Linked DNA regions of Coturnix japonica. The protein of the gene in region 3 purifies or fractionates together with the protein of the main gene of each other region. This does not show direct contact. Links are inferred from orthologs where the notes say so. Each region holds a gene or a part of one and is shown on either strand. Other genes may lie near its edges.

Region 1 (3,651 bases), on a different chromosome or scaffold from region 3:
TATACAGTCACATATGGACCTCAGGGTGGTAGCTATAACAAGCCTGTTACCCCCTCTGACCAAATGAACCCTAAAAATGCTGTGCAAAATAAGACAGCAGCCAGTGCCATATCGCACACGGTCAGTACACCAGAACTGGCTAATATGCAGCTGCAGAGCAGCCAGAATTACAATACTGCTCATATGTTAAAGAACTATCTCTTCAGACCCCCACCCCCATACCCACGCCCACGTCCTGCCACCAGCACACCTGACCTTGCAAGCCACCGGCACAAGTATGTCAGCGGGAGCAGTCCCGACTTGGTCACACGCAAAGTCCAGCTCTCAGTAAAGACGTTCCAGGAGGACAGCTCACCCGTCGTCCGTCAGTCACTGCAGGAGGTCAGCGAACCCCTCCTTGCAGTGAAGCACCATGCGGCTGTGAACAAGCGCCATAGCTTGGAGGTCATCAGCAATATGGTACGTGGTATAGAAGCCATGGCATTAAAAACCTTAAACGCTCCTCTACCACGCAGGAACACCTTGCGGGAGCAGGTGCAGCCAGAAGAGTCGGTTCAGATGGGGCATGAAGTTCAACAGGTTCCTCATTATCATCACAAAAAGACATTCTCTGATGCCACAATGCTGATACACAGTAGTGAAAGTGAAGAGGAAGAAGATACCACAAAATCTGTGACACAGATAAGAGCCCTCCATGAGAACATGAAGTACAGTGCTCAGTTGCAAGCTGCCTTGGCTAGAATACCAAATAAACCTCCTCCAGAATATCCTGGGCCTCGAAAAAGCGTCAGCAACGGAGCCCTGAGACAGGACCATATTAGCACTTCTGTGGCCGTAGCCAGGGCCAAGGCCATGAGGCCAGGGCCCTCCAAGGCCATCAGTGTGTCTCGGACAGATCAAGTGGCAATAAATGGGTCCTCGCTTGGGCCCTCTATCTCAGAGCCTGACCTCACAAGCGTAAAGGAGAGGGTGAAGAAAGAACCAGTCAAGGAAAGACCTGTGTCCGAAATGTTTTCGATTGAGGACAGCATTATAGAGAGAGAAATCATGATGAGGGTAAGTGTCTTCCTTTGTTGCAGGGACTTCTTGAGAATTCGTAAGCATACAGGTCTGTTTACATGTCCAATAGCTGTTGGGTCAGTAAACTATGGGGAACACGTAGGTGGGAAAACAGTGTTTTGCTTAAAGCAGACCTGGTGGGTCAGCTACAATTATATGGATCTGGACTTCTATTTTTTTTATTGTACTCACTATGTGATAAATAGTTATTTAAACAATGGATGAATTTACAATAAAAACTGTGTATTTAAAGACTTCAGTGCCACTGCAGGCAGTGGGAGAAGTGAGGTGTGCTTGCACTTCAGCGACTTGTATTTTGAAGTTGCTTGTGCGACTTGTGGCTTGAAGTTATGCACTGAGAAATACAACTGCAGTCACAGAAAACAAAGCTTTTTGTTTTTTGTTTTGGAATTTGGCTTTTAAGCAGTTCCTGAAAGAAATTAACGAATGAGCCACAGAAGGAAATAATTTGGAATAGACTTAAATTTACATACTACTGTATATTCAAAGAAATTTAGAAAAATTATTTATAATGCTTCTTGTTCATTAGTGATTCTTACACTTATGTAATAGTTAGCAATTAAACTTGGACCTCTACGTCGTATCATGGAAACTGAGTTTACTCCATATAGCATCTTAACCTTCAAAAACAGATTTCCAAATATAAAACATAGTATTCTGTGAGTGAATACTGCAGATGTTGGTGAACAAGAAGCGTTACAGGCTCTTTTGAACTTCTGGGGAAGTAAAGAAAAAAACTTGCTGAGATGCAGAAATCAAAAGGAATTTTGGATGTGAGTGAAGGGTGAGCTGAGAGGTTAGAGGTGCTGAAGTGCTCCTTTGAATAATGACACAAATCTGCCTTTGGTCAAAATGTGTTTTAGTTGTAAATATATTTTTTTTTCGGAAGTAAATTAGTTGTGTTAGCATTGAGCTTTTGAGGTGGTTCCTAGTTCAGGTGCCTTAATGCATGCAAATGTTCCCTTATTGTAGGAACCCCATACTACACTAGTGCTGGTTTGAAAACCTTAATCTTGCAAGAGCAGGCTTTAGCTTGTAAAGAGTCATAAAAAGTAAAAATGAAAAAAAGCAAAAGGAAAAGGCTTGTGTTTTCCTCCCTCCTGAAATAAGAAAAGAAAGCAAAGAGTTTTTGGAATTTTGCTCTGCCTTTCTGTTTGTTTTTACTCAGTGTTCTGGAGGAAAGTGCTGGTGGTGAAAAAGCTCACAGGCTTCTGAAAAAACACACTGTGTCTGAGGGTCTTCAGGTTCAGTTTACTATTTCCAAGAGCTGAACTTGGTCTGTGTGGTGACCACAGCTTTGGTTCTCAGCATGCTGAGAACCAGGCTTCCATAATGCTCATCTCTTCATCCAAATCTGGGAGAAAGAACTGTGACAGGAATAGAATAAAACATTCGTGACTTGGTTCATTCTGGAGATTGTCTCCTTTCTCTGTGACTCCCAGAGACATTCGGAAGGCAGCAGGATGAGCTGAGAATTTGTACTCGGGTTTGCCGCATTGTAGCATAATACAAAGCATGAATGTGAGAAACAGTACCTCCCTAAACACACCTCAATTTTTAGTGTGAAATACATCACAGGTACTATTTGAATCACCATACCTGGGTGCATCAAAAGACTTCACTTTGAGTATTAATACAGGATGCTTTTTTTTTTCTCCTCTAAAATACATTTGTATGTTGGAATAGATTAAAATTATTGCTTTTAAAAAGACGCCCCAGGTGTCTTGGCTACAGTAAAGCTACTTGAAATGTACAGGGTGATGTGTTTTGTGTCCTAAGTTCAGAGCAGTATTTGCAGAAAAATGCTCAAGATTGTATTTGTGTGTCTTCTGATGGCACGTAAACTGTATTAGAAGCTGGGATTGCTCCTTTGAAATTAAAATTCTGTGCTCGTGTAGGAGCAGGCCTTTGAGGAATAACAGGAAGAATAGAGGTTGTATTTGAATTTATGATGCTAATGGTGATCATCTGCATTCCTTGGCCAGAAAGTTGCAGATTTTGGAGATTAAAAAAACATTCCAGCATTTTACTGGCATTATAAATAATCACACAGAGATGAAAACGTGCCTTTTCTTGCCAAAAGAATCTAGAAAAGCAGAAGATGGCAGGCCTGGAGGCCCAGAAGAGGCCCTTGATGTTGGCAGCACTGAACGGACTTTCAGTTGCTAGGGTTCCAGTGCCGGAGGACAGCCAGGATGAAGTAGCCAAGGTGCCAATGGATGAGAGGGTAAGATGCAGGCTCATGAAATGTTCATTTCCTTTGTTCCCAGCAGTACGAAGTTTCTAAAATATTAACATTCGATTTAACATATGAAACAATTTCTCATAACCATTTTTAGAGTCATTAATGTCAAAGGTCTGCAACTAATGCTTGTGCATCTTCTGATGCTAAGTGTTTTAAGTCTCTTCAATATTCACATAAGTCAGTGGAAGCTGGGGCTGTGCACCATTTCACTGCAGTCAGCATCATGTAAGATCAAGCTGTAAATTTAATCTTTTGCACATATTTTGCTTGATAAAGGAGTATTTAAAAATATCATCCTTAGAATATTTCATGTTCTGGTACAACTA
Region 2 (3,651 bases), on a different chromosome or scaffold from region 3:
GGGCAGCAGCATTCATGCTGTGAGGTTAGGTGCCTGCTGACTTTAGAAAGAGAAGAAAGGGATACCATGTCTGGGTTTAATAGTGTTTGGAGACTTCTCTCTCCGCAGTCTCTGGTTGCCTCAAGGAACAGGAGTCTGAAAAGGGAAAATTTTGAAGAAACACGTGATAAGACCTTTCCGGAGGGAAGGCACAATGTAAGAACAGCTCGTTTCATTCCAATCAAAGCCCCACGAACCTGGTATCCTGTTTGCACCATAACTGCCAGCAGATTCCTAGGGAATGCAAAAATAGGACCAACAAATAATACTTTCCCAGAATACTTTCCACTTCCAAGAAGGACTTCCTGAGCTCAAAGTAGTGTCCTTTAAAATCCCTCAATGGACTTTTCTTCCATGAGGCTGTAGAGCAGCTCTTTGAACCCGCGTAAGAGAATCTGTGTTTTGTGCTGTGGTGCTTTGCCGGGCTTTGTTTCTGGCTGCTGGGAAATGTTGCCTTCTTTCTACTATCGTATTTCAGAGTTGATGACATCCACAGTTAAAAAAGCAATGCCCCGGATTTGCTGCAGAAGGTCAGTTAATGGCAATTATTAGAGTAATTTCTATAGCAGAAAACCCTGTCCCTAAATGTGCAGTATTCTGTCCGCTGGGACAGGGTTAGGCCTGGGGTTGGTTCTGATATTTTATTCATATTTTAGTTAATTTCTGTTCTGTGTGACCTGTGAAGTGACCTTTCTAAGATGGTTCCTGGGGGTCTCAGCATGGAAGTTTTCATTGTTGTGGTGAGGTAGGATAGCAGTTGTTTGCAAGATGGGCGATGAATAGCAGTGGCAGGAGTGGAGCAGGCCCCCTCAGCTCACAGCAGGCCAAGATGACAAGTGAATGCCAGGACTGCCAGCATAAGCCAGGCTGCCTCTAGTGCATGCTTTCATCTTGTTCATTATTTTAGTGCTGTGGGGCTGGAATAGGATACCAACAGTAGCTTTCAGTGTTGCACTGAAAAAGCTGTTCCCAACTTGTAGGTGTCTGGGTATCAGCATTCCAGATCATGACATCCCATGACAGACTTGGCATACCTTGATTTCCTCATCACTAGCATGGAGATGCTTGAGGACAAGAAGAAGAAATAAACCTAGCAGGAAGGTGGACATGGGAAGGACTTGTAACATAGGGCTTGTTTGAAATCCAGGGCACCCTGACAGCAGTAATGTGGACATGTTCCTCCTGGCTGGCGGTGCTGTTTTCTTTAAGGCACATGGAGCCAAAAGTTCCCCTCATTTAACTTATGCTGTTTTTTTTTCCCTTTTGTTTCAGCTCAAGAAGAAGCAGGTCTATGTTGAGAAAGTAGAGAAGATGCAGCAGGCCTTGGTTCAGCTGCAGGCAGCGTGTGAGAAACGGGAACAGCTGGAGCATAGGCTGCGGACTCGGCTAGAGCGAGAGCTGGAATCTCTCCGGATGCAGCAGGTATCCTGTCTTTCTCTGGGCCCTGGTTAGGCTTCTTGTAGGGTTTGACACTACAGCATGTGCAAAAGAAAGGCAATGGTTTTTTCCATCTTGTAAAATCAGCACATTTTTTTCTCTTGAAAACTATTATGCTGACCTATGTTTTTACTTGACTTAGTTATTCCATTCTAACCAGAAGATTTAGATAAAAGAGCAGCAGTCTGTGCATCCTGTGATAAGAGAGTCATATAGGTAACCTGGTTATATTCATTCTTATATTATTTTTAAAGTATTATTTACAGTTTGAAATTTTAAGTGAAAGTCAATAACAGCTGGACTGAAATGAAAGGCCCTTCAGAAGGCTTTTATATGAAAAAAAAAGTACACAAAATGCCAAAACCACAAAACCAGTTCAGTAAATGCAGTTGTTGGAAAAAGGAGCTTCATGTAGGATATCTTCTTGGAATTGTAGTGTGGGTCTTTTTCAGTGGAGAAAAAAATGAATAAGAAGTAGCTTGTGCAGATTTCCAGAATAATTTACAAACCTGATGGTTCATCTATATTCTAATTCATGTTTAGTTTCAGGTTAAATTTGGTCCTCAACTGTCACATCTGTGAGAGAACAGATATTTACATAACAATCATATTTTTGTAGTGCTCCTAAAAGTAGGAGTTAACATAATTTGGTAAATTTTCTTTCATGTTACCTTTGGGAGATGAGGTAATCTGAACACCCGACTTTTGACTTTGAGCTTTAGTCAAAGCAAAAAATGACCTTTATCGTCATGGTTTAAGAATTCTGAGCTGAATGTATAACAGGTTACGTGCCCCATTTGTTTTCAAGTCAAGTATCACACAAATCCCAGATAAGATTTTCATATAAAACTATCCGTTTTATCTTTGAACTTTCAGCACAGCAAATCTCCATTTTTTTTCTATTGATTTATGAGAAAAGGTTGTCTGTCTTCCAGATCTTGTGTTAGAACTAAATTATTTTTAACCACCAGCTATTTAGTCCACAGGTATACAAAGATCATATTGATTCAGTATCATGCTATAAAATATTTTGGATTTTTTTAAAACTCTGCTGAATTATGTACACTAGTTCGTGTTTTGCTGGAATGGTGTTGGAAGGAAGTCTGAGTTATTTAAGCAGTATGGACAGGTTAGAGACATCAGACCTGAGTAGCATATCCAGCTCTCTGACATGCTCTTGTGGCTTTGCATTTGAGAAAAGGCCTTAAGGAGTATTCTCCATCTCAGATACCCACTTGTTAGTATTGACCAGCTCTGGAGTAGCACAGGAAGCGCTCTACCACAAGTGCTGTGACTTAAACTGTCTTTCTAGGGAACAGTTGGTGCAGTTTTTGGTATTTTATGGCTTTTAAGCTTCAACATTTGGATGTAGAAGGAGCCTGGCTTGCACTATATGAGCTTGTTTCCAGGTTTGGACATAGGGAGGCTGTGCTGCCCCGCAGGTGTATTAGGTCCAACTCTAAAGGAGACCATTAGATCACGCAGTCTGCCTCACATTCACTCTGGGGGGTTCTTGCCCCTGCCCCACAGAGAAAAGCACACCAACCAATCCTGAATCTAACAGGTGCATCCTGAAACTTCTCTTTGCTTTGCTTTTCAAATCAGCGTCAGGGCACATCTCAGGCTGCCAACGTCTCTGAATACAATGCCACAGCGCTTATGGAACTCCTGCGCGAGAAGGAAGAAAGGATTCTTGCTCTGGAAGCTGACATGACCAAGTGGGAACAGAAATACCTGGAGGAGAGTGTGATGAGACAATTCGCTTTAGATGCAGCTGCAACTGTGGCTGCTCAGAGGTAAATTAAACTATTCATAGTACAGGGATTATTATTTTTTCCTGTTGAATGTCATATTTTCCACAAAACAGTGTTGTCATATCACCCTCCCAAAATACCTCTGCTTGTGGTCTGCACATCTTCTCAAACCTCTGCATATAAGTGGAGCTTGGCTGTTTTGCCTGGGAGCTGTGTGACTTAACTATAAGAAATTTTTTGCAAGGGAATGTTCCCCAACATGCAAGAGCCATATTCCAGGCTGGAGTTCTCCTAAGCCATTCCTAGAAGCTATTGCTTCAAAAATAGATGTGTGAGGAGCGTTGTTGGGGTTGTTTTTTTTCTTTTTTTTTTTTCTCTTTTCAAACAGGAGTCAGTCCTTGCTGAAGTCATGTGGGATGGG
Region 3 (3,651 bases):
GGGCCGGGTGAAAAAGGCCATTTTCTCTCTAGAAGGAAATGATCAGCTGTTAGTGCCATTCAGGTATGGCCAGAAACATACATCATCTGCATTAACAGGTATCATCTGCATTAACAGGTATCATCTGCATTGACATGTATCCCACCACGTGTCACCACCATGCACAGCAGCACACTCTCTTGAGCTACACCTTTTACACACACACCAGAGATCCCTGCAGTTAAACCTACAATACTGAACTAATCAAAGAAGCCATTTCAGAAAGGCTCGTTGTTGGCATGGTGAGCAGTGTTACTTAAGGGAGCAAAAGACTGCTTTCTGCATTAAAATAATGCTTGGTGCCAGGCGGGGAATGCTTTGGGCTACTTCTAGCTGCTTTGAAATCACCTGCAATGCTGCAGTTAATTTCTGACTTTCAGACTGGATTTGAGCATTGAATTTGTTTTTTAGTAGAACAGTTAACTACTTGTTCAAAATCAGCTTTATCAACACCATTATCATCCACAAAGTCAGTTCTTACCCCCTTCACCCAACTATCCTAATTACCTGAATGACTGCACTTCCAAAGGCTCCTTCCGACTCTGCCCTCGGAGCCGGTGAACATCCTTGGCAGCAGCTCTCATCATTTTATCAGCTTTGAGCTCACACTTGTGTTCTGTTTTTTCCACCTAAAAACCAAAAGGAAGCTGTTTGTGTTTCCGGGAGGAATCGCTCTGAATAAATCTGTAAACACAGCAGTTTTACCTGCAGGTCCGAAGGGTTTGAGACCTGCTAACTCAGGAATCAGTAGCTACAGAAGGTAAATTGAAGGCTCGTCAACCACTGTAACCAGGAGAGCTTTTTCTAAGGTCTTCAAGGCCCTTGCTAAGAATTATGGCTGTCATCCATGTCTTCTTTGTATCATGATTTTTCAGCCAACACATCAGCTTATGCAAGAACATGGTAATCTATTTTCCAAGCTCTATCCCAGAGGACTTCTTTTTTTTCCCCCCCATCTACATACTATGCCATCATAACTTGAAATATTTCTGTCTGCTGCCAAAGGTGCTTGTGATAAACCAGGAAAGCTGAGAAGCGGCCCTCTCACTAGGGAAAGGAACTTGTAGACAGAGTAAGGTTAAGTGCTAACCATTGCAAACTGTGGTTCAGGAGGCTGAACTTTACAGAACAGATGGGATTTGTGACTTTCCATACATGCACCTGAACTAAGATAGGAAATCTCTGTGCTGCACAGGTTCAGGTGTAACAGGATGCCACAGGAAGCTAAAGAGGCAAGACAAATTCCAGCAAGGTTAGAGGAGGACTCAGCTCAGAGGATTTCAAACATCCATGCTGGACATATACTAACTAGAAATGACTGTCATTTTAAGCTCAGGATCATCATCATTACTGAGCCATCATTTCTCTTAGGAGAAGCAGATTTAGATGCTGTCCTCCTAACCTTTGTCTTTGCAGGCACAGACTCTGCAGTCTGTGAACTGAACATTTGAGAACAGCAACTTCCATCATCAATAGCTTGCTTGATGGAATCGTAAGTACAAGACACGAGTGACCATAGTGCTAAAGTTTAATTTCCAGGTTGTCTAAAATCCCAATTCTCAAATCACACTTCTCAAATGTTAAATAAAATCCAAAGGCAGGTATCACTTACTCGTTTTTCCACTAGCCTCAGCAGCAGTCGAAATCTCTCATCATCCTTCACCCACTGTGGTAACTCTTTCTCACCCTGACTCTGAGCTTGTTCTAACTGTTCCTTTAGTTCTCTCAGCACAGAGATCTCCTGAACAAGCCGATCATGCCAGGTTTTTGAAGCCTGCAGGTCCAGCTCCAGGTCTAGTGAAGTGCGAATCAGGCGCTCTGTACCAACAGACTTAATTGAAGGCTGAAAAAAAATTATGGACAATAGTGAGAACTGCCCAGACTGCACCCCTTCTGAAAGGCCCAATAATTTTACATGACCCATTCTTGTTCCTCCAACGCTTCTTAGTGCAATAAACAAATAAATACTTCTCTGAGTAACTGAAGCAGCTTTCTTTTCACCTTCATCCCCAGCTGATTGCAGCACAAGCACTAAATGCTCTTACAATAAATGCAGCAGAAAAATTGTTGCCACTCCTACTCCAATACGATGGAAGATATCAGGAACAATCTTTCTAAACTTATTTCTTTAAGCAAGCTTTAGAGTTAAACATCCCTGTCATACTCCAGCATTACTAGGAAAGTTATCTTTAAGAGAAGTATCTCACATGCAAAGAAAAGTTTCTGAATCAAAACACTTGGCAAATGATTTGTGTTTACAAAACATTCCTCCTTTTAAACTGTTTTCACTTCTTTTTTGTGCACGTCTGTACCAGACAAAAAGCGAGTAGAGATGCTTTTACCCGTTTCACTCTGACGCTTCGTCTCTCCATTGCATTTCGAACAAAGGGGGTTTTTTTGGATAGCGTTGAACTGTCACTATCGCTGCGATTCAGCTGAAAAATGGAAGAGAACATGTTTCCATCAAACATACAAGTACATACTTACATAAGCAGCAACATCACAGTGTAAGCTGTGAGGTAAGCAGACCTTTCAGGTTTTGTAAAGACTGCAGCGTCAGGACTCAGTAAAAAATTGAGACTACGCAAACGATGACATCATTCCCTCGTTAATGAAAAGCAGTATTTTATAGATCCAGGATTGCATTTTCCTTACCCGACACACATACTGACTTTGTGGTCCTGGTGAAAATGTTTTGGAGCGGATGATGGTGCTACCCCTGACAAACTGAGTTTGTGGTGGATTTGCTGCTCTTTTGTCTTTTGGACGCACCACAGCAGAAGACTGTGCAAGGCTCTCTGTGTTTGTCTCTTTATCCACCTGAAAGACAGATAGTGCAGTGTAAAATGCCAGCTTGCCATCTGACCAATGATACATCCAGGGCTGTCTGGCAGCCACCTGTGATAGATCTGTGCTTTCAGCCCAGAGGCATCGCACTTAAACCAGATACTCTTTAGCTCCTTTCATACACGGTGCTCTGACACTACGCTGTGAACTCAGCAGCTGCTACATTAACCGTATTGCTCCCTAAGGGCTCCGTGTCCATTGATTGCTGTGGACACAATTGAGTCCAGTGAGCTTTGCTTGTTGGATCCAGTACATCAACGTGAACCAGCAATTTCACTTACAAAAAGGGAGTTACAATTTTGAAGACCACTCCCTTACCTTTTGTGCATCTGCAACAAGCACAGATATAAAAAGCTGTATGTACATGCACAGAGAGCAGATCAAGAGCACATTAATTATGCTTGTGAGAATGTAGGAACACTCAGAATTATACAAGGTCAAAGCCACAGCCACATATTAATGAAAACAGTTTCCAAGAATAACAAAAGAAGGTGTGAAAAATGCTTATTAACCATGGGAAAAAGTTGTCATGCAGTTATTTAATATTTCAGGTAGGTAAGCATTTAAAAATCAATTATGAGCTTTCAAAAAAACTGCTGCAGCTCTGCTCAGCTCAACAGCAACCCAGTCCACTACGCAGCAGCATTTTCTCCTTCAAACTGAAACCTTAAATAAAATAGGAGCTCCCTTATCAGGAGATGAACTGAAAGGAGAAAAACATTGACACTGACATCCAAATATTTGGATGGTGCAATTAAATGGGAG

Evidence for each region.
Region 1: the proteins of WWC1 (region 3) and PTPN14 purify together in Homo sapiens (affinity purification with mass spectrometry; 7 studies listed by BioGRID and IntAct, counting the BioPlex papers as one, with this or other methods). This does not show direct contact. The link is inferred for Coturnix japonica from reciprocal best matches to the Homo sapiens genes WWC1 and PTPN14.
Region 2: the proteins of WWC1 (region 3) and AMOT purify together in Homo sapiens (affinity purification with mass spectrometry; 3 studies listed by BioGRID and IntAct, with this or other methods). This does not show direct contact. The link is inferred for Coturnix japonica from reciprocal best matches to the Homo sapiens genes WWC1 and AMOT.

The regions. Positions count from the first base shown.
Region 1 is NC_029518.1:18,594,426-18,598,076, forward strand, and holds part of PTPN14 (tyrosine-protein phosphatase non-receptor type 14), read left to right. Parts: coding exon 1-1,056; intron 1,057-3,163; coding exon 3,164-3,307; intron 3,308-3,651. UniProt on the Homo sapiens protein: Protein tyrosine phosphatase which may play a role in the regulation of lymphangiogenesis, cell-cell adhesion, cell-matrix adhesion, cell migration, cell growth and also regulates TGF-beta gene expression, thereby modulating epithelial-mesenchymal transition.
Region 2 is NC_029519.1:12,291,363-12,295,013, forward strand, and holds part of AMOT (angiomotin), read left to right. Parts: intron 1-1,311; coding exon 1,312-1,461; intron 1,462-3,081; coding exon 3,082-3,272; intron 3,273-3,651.
Region 3 is NC_029528.1:7,291,589-7,295,239, forward strand, and holds part of WWC1 (protein KIBRA), read right to left. Parts: intron 2,860-3,651; coding exon 2,695-2,859; intron 2,475-2,694; coding exon 2,382-2,474; intron 1,883-2,381; coding exon 1,652-1,882; intron 669-1,651; coding exon 547-668; intron 29-546; coding exon 1-28. UniProt on the Homo sapiens protein: Regulator of the Hippo signaling pathway, also known as the Salvador-Warts-Hippo (SWH) pathway.